Linked DNA regions of Cricetulus griseus. Each later gene encodes a partner of the first gene's protein in a complex. Links are inferred from orthologs where the notes say so. Each region holds a gene or a part of one and is shown on either strand. Other genes may lie near its edges. The genes, in order: Ppp4r4, Ppp4r3b and Ppp4c.

Evidence for each region.
Region 2: Ppp4r4 (region 1) and Ppp4r3b share a complex: the UniProt entries of both Homo sapiens proteins name them as parts of the PP4 complex. The link is inferred for Cricetulus griseus from reciprocal best matches to the Homo sapiens genes PPP4R4 and PPP4R3B.
Region 3: Ppp4r4 (region 1) and Ppp4c share a complex: the UniProt entries of both Homo sapiens proteins name them as parts of the PP4 complex. The link is inferred for Cricetulus griseus from reciprocal best matches to the Homo sapiens genes PPP4R4 and PPP4C.

What each region holds. Positions count from the first base shown.
Region 1 is NC_048598.1:191,028,085-191,031,738, forward strand, and holds part of Ppp4r4 (serine/threonine-protein phosphatase 4 regulatory subunit 4), read right to left. Parts: intron 932-3,654; coding exon 810-931; intron 1-809. UniProt on the Homo sapiens protein: Putative regulatory subunit of serine/threonine-protein phosphatase 4.
Region 2 is NW_023276807.1:78,078,721-78,082,374, forward strand, and holds part of Ppp4r3b (serine/threonine-protein phosphatase 4 regulatory subunit 3B), read right to left. Parts: intron 2,306-3,654; coding exon 2,166-2,305; intron 1,806-2,165; coding exon 1,621-1,805; intron 1-1,620. UniProt on the Homo sapiens protein: Regulatory subunit of serine/threonine-protein phosphatase 4 (PP4). May regulate the activity of PPP4C at centrosomal microtubule organizing centers.
Region 3 is NC_048596.1:73,952,637-73,955,964, reverse strand, and holds the end of Ppp4c (serine/threonine-protein phosphatase 4 catalytic subunit), read right to left. Parts: intron 3,131-3,328; coding exon 3,080-3,130; intron 2,910-3,079; coding exon 2,808-2,909; intron 2,318-2,807; coding exon 2,144-2,317; intron 2,050-2,143; coding exon 1,923-2,049; intron 1,161-1,922; coding exon 971-1,160; intron 885-970; coding exon 755-884; 3' UTR 513-754; downstream 1-512. UniProt on the Homo sapiens protein: Protein phosphatase that is involved in many processes such as microtubule organization at centrosomes, maturation of spliceosomal snRNPs, apoptosis, DNA repair, tumor necrosis factor (TNF)-alpha signaling, activation of c-Jun N-terminal kinase MAPK8, regulation of histone acetylation, DNA damage checkpoint signaling, NF-kappa-B activation and cell migration.

The DNA.
Region 1 (3,654 bases):
AGTGAAGCAGGGAAAACCCATTAATGCCAGTTCCAGTCTGAATCCTAGGGGTGCCCTCAATATTAGAGGCAAAAAGATTCATCCAATTATGTGCAGCATTGCTCCTGTATTTATCAAATTACTTCAATGATCATTCTGAAATATTTATACAAAATTATTGTCTATACCACAAAAATCTTCAGAGACCCTCCCAGTCCAGAAAAAATGTCAATAGTTCTAGTGAACCCAATCCTACAATTACACAACTGACTTTCATACCTCAGTCTTGACATTTAGCCCTCCAAATATTACGTTGTCATAGTGGCTAATATCCACTTGCCCAGAGCGAGGCCCCAGTCTAGGTCTAGGTCCACACTTGGTAGATCAGCTAGCTTCCTGCGGCTCAGTTTGCACAAGAACAAGAAACAACGTCTTTCACATCACCATTGAATTATCTACCCCAAATTTCTCCTCCCACAGCCAGATTTCTGGCATTATAATATTATTAAGAAAGAATTCATTTAGATGTTATAAGCATCTTACAATCAGGACTTAACATCAGTTAGTTGGGTGAGCTAAGGGCTACTTGTCAAGACAAATTCTTCAACTTCTATATATGTCAGTTAAGTTTTGAAGAGAGAAATGAGAAGTATGAAACATACAGCAGCACTAGATTCCAGGAGGGTTAGAGTAAAAGTATGGAAGGCATCAAGATGGAAGAATCATAAAACTCTAAACTCAACAAAAAATTCTGAATCAGTCTTTGCTCCTTATTAGTAATATGGGAAACAGTCTTTCAGAAATAAAGATCTCTGCACATGCAGTTTTACCTGTATCAAACATGTCAAGCATGTTCACCAAGGTTTCAAAAGCAGCAAGCCGCACACTGCCACTCTCATCCCCAGAGAGTTCTATTAATTCGGGGAGCACCACACTCTTTGTCAGTTCTGTCCTGCACAATAAGCAGTAGAAGAAAGTAAGTCAGACCAACAGCAAGAGTCCAGTGAAAACAAGTGATTATCCCAGATGGTCCCAGTGTCCCACGCTAGTCCCCAAGCATGCCATCTGGTTGGAAAAGCAGCCATAGTGTAAGAAATACAGGTTAGATATGGGAGGAGTCATGGGGGTTTGTGAGGGAATATAATTAAAACACTTCATGTGAAATTCTCAAAGAATTAAAAATATTTAAATAAATATTAATAATAATTTCATGATTAAATCAATTTTCATTTCACCTGTAAACTACTGTTAACTATAGAAATTTTAATGATTAGGACATTATATTAAGCTTTATAAATTATATCATTTTCAATTTTAAAGAAATTTCAAAAAGTGATCCAGCTAATTAAGAAAAAAGTTATTATAAGTATTGGTAGAAATTCAAGCAAAACCATTTGACCTAGATTTTGGGGCATATGTTATTTTTCTAATCATCTGAAACACAACATTATGATAGTTTCCACACAGAAGAATGACAGACAACACTGGATATTCAACATAAAACAATAAGGTATGAAAGATGCTTTTACAGAATAAACAACATTTAGAACATAGTCATAAGCAGCAAAAAGCCAGCACTTCATTCCTACTGATGACAAAGGTTCAGACTCAGATAATAGGGAGTCATAACATATTGTCAGCTTTCTTAGATACAATATGGAAGGCAGCATAAATTATACGTGGCGTATTTTATTGACAGAGTTTTTAACAAAAATAGCACAGGCAGGTGGATCTCTGAGAGTTCAAGGCCAGCATGGTCTTGTTCCATGCCAGTCAGGGCTGCACAGTGAGACCATCTCAAAAAAAAAAAAATGAACAAACGAATAAATCTCAAAAAACCACTAAAAACTGGGAGGGGTAGCACACACCTTTAATCCCAACACTGGGGAGGCACAGACAGGTGAGTCTCTGAGTTTTGGGCCAGTCTGGTCTGCTTAGTGAACTCCAGACCAGTGAAGGCTACACAGTGAGACCCTGTCAAAATAAATCAATAAAGCAAACCAAAAAAGCCTTCAACAGAAGATTGCTCCTTCAGTTTCCTCACACGGTCTTGAGCAAAATTTTCTCTTACGCTGTCTATAATTACTGCATTTGTTGTATGACAGACAGGGCATCAACAGGAACCTCAGCTGGACCTGTGAGGACAGGTCCTCCCCCACCACACAGCTAACAGCACACCTCTAAGCAAGTCATCTCTCTCTTCTGAACTCGGAGGGTGGCTGTGTACAACTATTCACTATGCATTTGAATTTTCTAGCCTATTTTAATTTTTTAAAAATTAATTGTAAGTTTATTTAAACTTTCATTCTCACAGCTTTTTCTTCTCAAGAATGTCACCTTGTTAAATCCTCTACCACATTGTATTAGTGTGAATTTAAATAATTTTAAGTGTTAAGGAGATAATTAATTTTCTCATTTCATTAGAGCCAAAAAGTTTTGGTGTTTGATTATTATAAGGAGTTAATGGGAACTTTAGGACATAGGGCATATTGGGAGTTTTCCAGACTCTGGAGACATGCCCTGGAAGCAGGAAGTCCCTTCTTCTCCACTTTTTGTTTCCTGGTGAAGAAATGATGGCCGTGTTCCACACACTCTCCACCATGATGTGCTGCCTTCCCAGAGACCCAACGGTTATGGGAAACCTTCAAATAACGACCCCAAATAACCTTTTTCTCCCCATTAGTTGCTACAGCATCTGTTACAGCAATGGAAAGCTGACTGACATGACTAGAAATAAGACACCATCACTTTTCAGTTGTCACACCATGAAGAATCCTATAGTCAGTCATATTTGTAAGAGGACAACAGGGATACTCAACAATAAATAAATATGCGTACATGGTCAAGAAATTGGTTCCTTAAATAGATTCTAACCTGCTGAAGTTGAGTATATTCTCTGCAATTTTGTTTTCATAAATTAATCCATAAAGAATAATCCTAAATTAATTTGGGGAAGACTAATTTGAAAATCCTTGCTGTGGTTGTTTGATTATGTTTGAATGCTTGGTCACCAGTTGGAACTGCTTGGGAAGAATTAGGAGATGTGGCCTTGTTAGAGAAGGTATGTCACCAGAGGTGGGCTTTGAAGTATAAAAAGGCCACACCAGGCCCAGTCTCTCTCTGCCTCTGGCTCTCTGTAAGTGTGTCTCTCTCCCTCCCTCTCTTACTCTCTCTGCCTGCTGCCTGTGGATCAGGATGTAAAGCTCTCAGCTACTGCTCCAGTGCCACACTTGTCTGCGTCCCACCATGACGACGATGAACTAACCCTCTGAAACTACAAGCAAGCCCCCAAGCAAATGCCTTCTTTTATAAGTTACCTTAGTCATGGTGTCACTTCACAGCAATAGAACCATAACTAAGAAACTTAGCCTTCCCACTTTTTAAACAGGAAAAAAAATGTCAGGTGGTTAAAAAAAAAGTAAACAAATAAATATTTCACATCTTTATAAAGTGAATAAGGCAGTAATACATTGTCCAGTCAAATTCTGATTCTGACTCATCAGGTTTGGGTGAGACTATTAACTATAGTCCACAGTAATCCAACAAGAGTAATGTAGCCTCAAAAGACTTATCAAAAATATTTCTGAGAGCAAAACAAAAGAACTGATTAGCAGACATAGCACAAAGTACATGACTATTCCCTGGGTCTGTTAGTGGCATCCTAAAGCTTTCCAA
Region 2 (3,654 bases), on another chromosome or scaffold:
AAGAAAAGCACATGCTTTAGGATGTGGATATATAGCTTAGTGGTAGATCACTAAGCCAAGCACATTCAAGGCCCCGTGTTTAGGCTCTAGCAATTACATAAATAAAAAGTAAATAATGTTCTTTAGAACTCCAATAATCTCTTTGCCCTTCTTGGGTGGAATCCATGGTACTCATGAATAGGAAATAAGTTAGATTGGGGAATGGCTGAAAAAAAGGTACTAGTCAACTGAATGAATTTTCTAAGAAAGAAGAAATACCTGTAGGATAAGCCACATTAAAAATACGTCCAAGAGATAATGTTGCCTTACAACATATAAATTTCTATTAAACATTCACAGAGTATTAGCAGGTCGGATTTTCTTTAGGACACTGATTATTTCTCTTGAAAGATACAAGCAATATCTTAGTTCTATACAACAAGTAGGAAAACTTCCTCCTTCCCCCTTTGAGGTAGTATCTAATGTACCTCGGCTAAGTCTCAAATATGCTTTGTAGCTGAGGATCACCTTCAACTTCTAATCCTCCTGTCTCCACCTCTAGAGTGCTGGGGTTAGGAGAGGGGGCCACCACACCTGGGTTTATTTGGTTTATTTATTTATTTTTTTTTTGGAGACTGGGTCTTCCTATGCCTGGCCAAGTTCACAGTGCTTCTATGACCTTAGTTCAAGAATGCTGAGATTACAGGTGTATCCCACCATGCCCAGCTTCTCCCTATTATATCTTTCTTTAAGCAACTTTAATAAAAGCTGAACTTTCAAAGTTACTTCTTTGAGCTCTCTTTCTCAGCTGTAAACATGAGAGGTGGACTGCTCTAGTTATAGTCTCCGTTACTTAATAATAGAAACACTCAAACAATTTAATCATAACAAAAATCCTCTATGAAATTGTCATAAAGAAACAAAGCCAAGACTGGTCTGCTCAGAGACGTATAGACAGACAACAAATCGCTAACAGAGGACAGGTGTGGTGGCACGTACAGTGACTATAGCATATAGTGAGAAGCTGAGATTGGGAAACTGTAAGCTCTAGGCTAGAACAAGGATACACATTGAGACCTGGCTTTAAATAATAGTATAAATTGAAAAAATTTGAGCCCAAAATGAATAGCATCAAAGACATCATCTTTCAAGGAAAACTAATTAAATATGAACACCTAAAATAACTTGGGCCGGGCATTGACGGTGCATGCCTTTAATCCCAGCACTTGGGAGGCAGAGGCAGGTGGATCTCTGTGAGTTCGGGGCCGGCCTGGTCTCCAGAGTGAGTGCCAGGATAGGCTCCAAAGCTACACAGAGAAACCCTGTCTCGAAAAACCAAAAAAAATTTAAAAAACAAAACAAAAAAACACAACAAAAAAACACTTGGGAAGTGGAAAATTTTAAAAGGGTATGACTCAGCATAAAATTCTTATGTTTGTTTTACAAACCTTGGCCAGACTTTCCCAAACAGGTAAAAGTTTATTATTATTATTTTTTATGGGTGTGTGTGTGCGTGCGTGCGTGCGTGCGTGCGTGCGTGCGTGCGTGCGTGCGTGTGCATGGTGCTCAGGATCAAACTCAGGCAGTCTGACTGTTTTACTAAGAAAGTCAGTATTATATGAACATTCAGGATCTTAGTACCTTTTTTAGTCTCCATAAATTTTTCATAACTATCTGGAAAATCATCTTCGGTCTTAGATTTTTCAATTGGTATCACAACTGCCTTTCCTTCTTCATCATCATCTTCATTAAACCACATTTCTTCATCATCTTCCAAGGCTTTTGCATCTCTACGAAATCGGTTACTACGCAATATAGACGGCACACTGTAAGAAATATATTACAGATATTGAATAATGACTACAAGGTCATGACCAGATAAGTTTGGGAAGGATAAATAAACCAAGATGAACTAACATACTTTTAAGCTATGATGTCACCATGTACAATGTAGTCAGAGAACTCATCAAATGTTTTTGCATGTGGTACACTAAATTAAGAATCCATCTTGAGTTACTATATATGCACTATCAAGTAAGTTATCTATAATGGATGGGGCAAGAAGGACAATTGATCCTCTTATAAAAGGCTATGCTAATATAGAAAATTTCACATACTAAGATTTCAACTGGACCATCTCATACTTAATTTTGCTTTCTACAAATGTTAATGCACTTAAACAATACCTGTTCAGTTTCTGATTTTGTCTGTCTTTTTCTTGTTCATATTTAGTCTTCAATCCTTTGAATGTCTGAACATATTCAATCGACTCAAGTGCTTTATAAAAGTTTTCAACTATATGTGCAGTAAGAGACTTGATATCTTCCTGTATAGGCACAAAATTCGTATTTACAAAACAATATAATACTTGTTGAGAAAAAAATTAAAAAAAAAAAAAACTTGAATAGTTCCAAAGTTGATCAAAAAAGGTTTTTCAAAATCACCTTCTAAAAATAAATGTCCTAGATTCCTTATACATGAGCCAGGACAGGACTCCACAGAAAACTTGGAACAAGGAGAGGCAATTCACTGGAGCCCTTTAGGGGGCTATAAGGAACATTTGAAAAGCAATGGATTTAGTTTATGTCTTAATGCTTTATACAGTACTTCATAATTTCAAAGAACACTTCCACAATTTTACATATAATTCTCACAATCATGAAGTTACACCCATTTTACAAAAAGACAAAATGTAAGCCTTGAGAGCTTATTAGAAAACAAATGTTAAGCCCATATGTTCAGTAATTGTTAATGATTTCCTATTTAACTGCTGTCAAAATAGTGTAAGTCTTATCTAAATAGATAATAAGCACAGATTCCTTTGATTATATTGTATATACAAACTGGATCAACTACTTAACTGTAACTCCACATTTTCTATTTTGGCAGTAAACTGTTGTAAATGGAACAAACACATGTTAAGGTTGAAGATTCAGTGTATTAAGCTTATCAATTTCCAAAAAAAATTGCAAACTCTATCAAAGGCATTGGGTGGTGTGAACTCAATTCATTTTATCAGTATCTCACCAAAATGCTAAAGGGAAAATGATCTAAGTCCATAGAAAGCTCATGAGAGGCAGCAGAACAGACAACAGCTAGGGTAATTGACTATGCTGCTTGTCTTCCAAGGCTAAACTACACTTCACCTTTTCAAAATTATACTCCTGGCAAGTGGCCACTCTTAGAAAAATAATTTCATTTCTGCTGCCTCAGTTCCCTCAACTGTAACAAAAGGCATTTGGACTACTTTTAACTTTCCAATTCTGTCATCTTCAAAATTTTAAAATTCCATCCCATTGTTTAGACATTTTGTAAAAAATTCTACTAAAGAAAAAAATTTAGTTTTTGTATTCATTTTTTATTATTACTCCTATGATAGAAAACTGCAGTTTCACAATAGATCACAAGAATGTCTTGCTTGACTGTAATGTTCAACATGCCACACATGATCCTAAAACATTTCTCCAAGAAAAATGACACTGAGAAAAAATGAGCAAATGTGAATCACAAGACTTGAATTTCACTTTTAAATGTCCTAATTTTCAATAGTGGTTTGGTGAGTGACTTGGTGGTGACATAGAATCTATACATGATCACCAACAGTGACCCATCCTGAAGATCCACCCAAAACTGTCATTCAACTACTAGACACTTACAAGTAAGAGTAAGAAAGTA
Region 3 (3,328 bases), on another chromosome or scaffold:
TCAGTGTGAATGGAGGGAAGACTTTGCCTGGCCAAATGGGGGCCTCAGCCCCGTGCCCCCACCTCCCAGGGGCCTCATCACTGGTGTAAGCCACACCAGCTTGTTCTCAGGATCAGAGTATTTTTGTTAATAAAACTCAAAAGACATTAGTGCTCAGGAAACGTTGGGCTAATGGTGTTGGCCCTGGGTGGGGCTGGGGAGCCACAGCTTTGAGGGCAGACCCGTTTCCAGATGCTTGCCCTTGTGGCTGTGAAGCAGCCTGCTCTGCGCATGTCCCCCTTCAGGGGGATGGGTAAATCTCTTCACAATGGTTGTTTTAAGAATAAAGGCTGTCCTGGAACCTCACTTTTACCCAGTACTAAGCAAGCCTTTGGGAAAGATCACCAGATGGAGCCTAAAGGCTCCGGGCTAGTGGACAAGCAGGACAGGGCTCCTTGTCTACCTCAGGGCCTAGTCAAACGTAACAGAACACCCTCAAGACTATTTTTCTTCTTTTATTAGAATTTTTTTTCTTTTTTTTCTCAAAATGTTTATCTAAAAACAAAACAAAAGAAAAAAAAGGAAAAAAAATGACTGGAAACTTCAAGGATCAAATGGGAGAAAGGAGAGGAAGCCTGGAGTGGAGGCCCCAACCTCTCCAGAGCAGTCCGCACCCTAGGGCAAGCAAAGCCAGGCAGCCCCTCCACACCCGGCCTCCGACTGGGCAGAGGGCAGTCACAGTGGTCCAAGGGCCAGAGGGGCTGGGGCCTAGGAGTCACAGGAAATAGTCAGCCACCGGCTTCTTGGAGGGGATGCCACGTGTTTCCTGTGGTGCAGCCTCGAAGATGATGAAATCTTTCTGGAGATGCTCATCTAGTTCCAAGATGGCTGCCACATTCCCACAGCTGGATTTAGGAACAGCACAGTTAGCAACAGTTGGCCTAGATCCCTACTCCTACCCCTACCCCGGCTCCTGGTCCTGCCAGCTTACCGGTAGCAGTAATTAGGTGCTGACCACACAGTAAGCACGGTCTCATTGAAGTGCCACTTGTAACCTTCCATCACCAATTGATGGGCGCGACAGATCATGTCAATGTCATTGGCTGCATTGAACTGGGCCACCACATCACTGCCAAACAAGTAGCCTGCCCCACGGGGGCTCACTCCCCAGCCTGTTGTGTCTGAGACAAGACAAGGACAATGTGTGGGGTCCTCTGGTTGACTACTATACCACAGAATTAGAAGCCTGTGCCTCTTCCCCTCATCAACCAGAGGCTTGTTCTAGGGAACCCTGGAAGATAGGATAGTAAATACTGGAGCAGAGGCACTCCGAGGAGAAAGATGGCTTCATGGCTGGGACCTACCTCCTCATCACAGTGGCCATAACATACAATGTGCTGTTCAAGCAGCACTCAAGTGATAGGAAGTGCTCACACCCAGAGCACCAGCCATGACCAACCACTTTCCTGGCAGTAAGGTCACCTTATGCCACATGACGCAGACTGCAGTAACAGTGGTGGAATTAGAGAGTATGCTTAGGACTGGTACTCAGAAAGCCAGGCTTTAAACCTCAGTTCCGCCCCTAACTAGAGGGGAACCACACAAAATTAGGAACCGTCAGAGGTCTTCGTTCTAAGGGAATGGGTCTCACCTCCAAAGAAGCTACTGTCAAGGTCTATGACCTCTTCCCCCCAGGGAGCCAAGGGTTTCATCCTGAACAGACCCTCTAAGCCATGAAACTCATGAGCCAACCCACAGTAGGCCTCAGTGCACCACCATTCATGCTTTCTGCTCCTTGAGGAGGATCCAGTCACACAAGGAGAAGGCAGAAGCCAGTACAGGCCAAACTTGCCCTCCTCTTCCCTGCCTGACTTCCCTTCATACACTTGCTTAATCCAGTCTTCACAAGACACACGGAGAGCCAGCTCAGGTATTGCCCTCACCTTCAGGGTCAGACCACAAGAGGTCACACATGGGTCCATCATGGGGTACCTCTTGCTTTCGGTCAATTGTCCGGATCTGGTCCAGGGTCTGGATGGAAGGGGAGAGGCCCCCATGCACACAGAAGATCTAGAAGGGAGAATGATACCAGAGAGAAGGAACTAAAAGCCCAGAGACCCAGCACAGCCTCCCCCTCCCCCCAGGAGATCCAGGGCCAACCTACCTTGCCATCAATGATGGCAGACAGGCTGAGGTAGTCAAAGATCTCAGTGCAGTAGCGCCATACAGTCACTGAACCATATTTGCGCAAGCATTCATCATAGAAGCCATAGACCTGGGTGATCTGGCGGCTCTCATGATTGCCCCGGATCAAAGTGATGCGGTCAGGATATCGAACCTAGGGGTAGCACCAAGCAAGAACTGGTTCTAGTCTCTACCTCCCACTTAACCATCCCAAGTCTCCAAGACATCCATTAGCCTCACTCAGTCCTCTGCCTGGCCCAGACTCCCGCAGTCTCTTACATAAATCATGGTGTCCCTGCCTCACAAGCTCCTGAGAGCCTTTTCCAGAAGCTACTGCCAGACTCTGGCTCTTGTCCTTAGCACCCCACACTCACCCCATGTGGCCCTTCACTATGACTTCTCCCAGTTCACTTAACTCCTGCTGCTCCCTGAACACACAGCCTCTGCCTGCTTTCCAAAACTCACATCACCAGCCTCTTCTGTAAGGGCTCAGGAGATGGCCCCACTCATGGCAGCAGTCCTGACTAGCCCCGCTAAGCACACAGTCCACAGCCACAGCAAAGTTCCAAGGTAGGTGACAGGAAAGGTGATGAGGGCAGCAAGTAGTGGCCAAAGCTCAGGCTCCAGGGGCCAAGAGTCCTCACCTTAAGAGCCAGCAGGAGGAGGAAGGTTTCAACACTGTAGAAACCACGGTCCACAAAGTCTCCCATGAAGAGGTAGTTGGTCTCAGGGACATCGCCACCTACCTGGGAGGAGGGATACGACTCTGCTTGGCCCCAAACTATCCTCTCTGGCTACAGCAACCAGAGTCTAGCTGAGCCCCTTCTCTCACCCACAGACCATGCAGCCTAAGACCTATCAATGATCATGGCTTTCTGTCACCCTAGGTTCAAAGTCCCAGTATCCCCCCACTCACTCTGAAAAGCTCCTTGAGGTCATAGAATTGTCCATGAATGTCACCACATACCTGGAAAGAAAGAATGTGGGTTGAAAGAGTGGACAAAGGCACAGTCCCTCTATTCCCAGACACCATCCTTCAAAACACATGTTACTTTCCAGGCCAGCCAGGGTGACACCACCCCATCTCAGGACCCAAATTCCCTCTCTAACCCAAGTGAGCCTGTTCTGGTGTCATCTATCACACCAAAAGCCAACTGCTATGGTG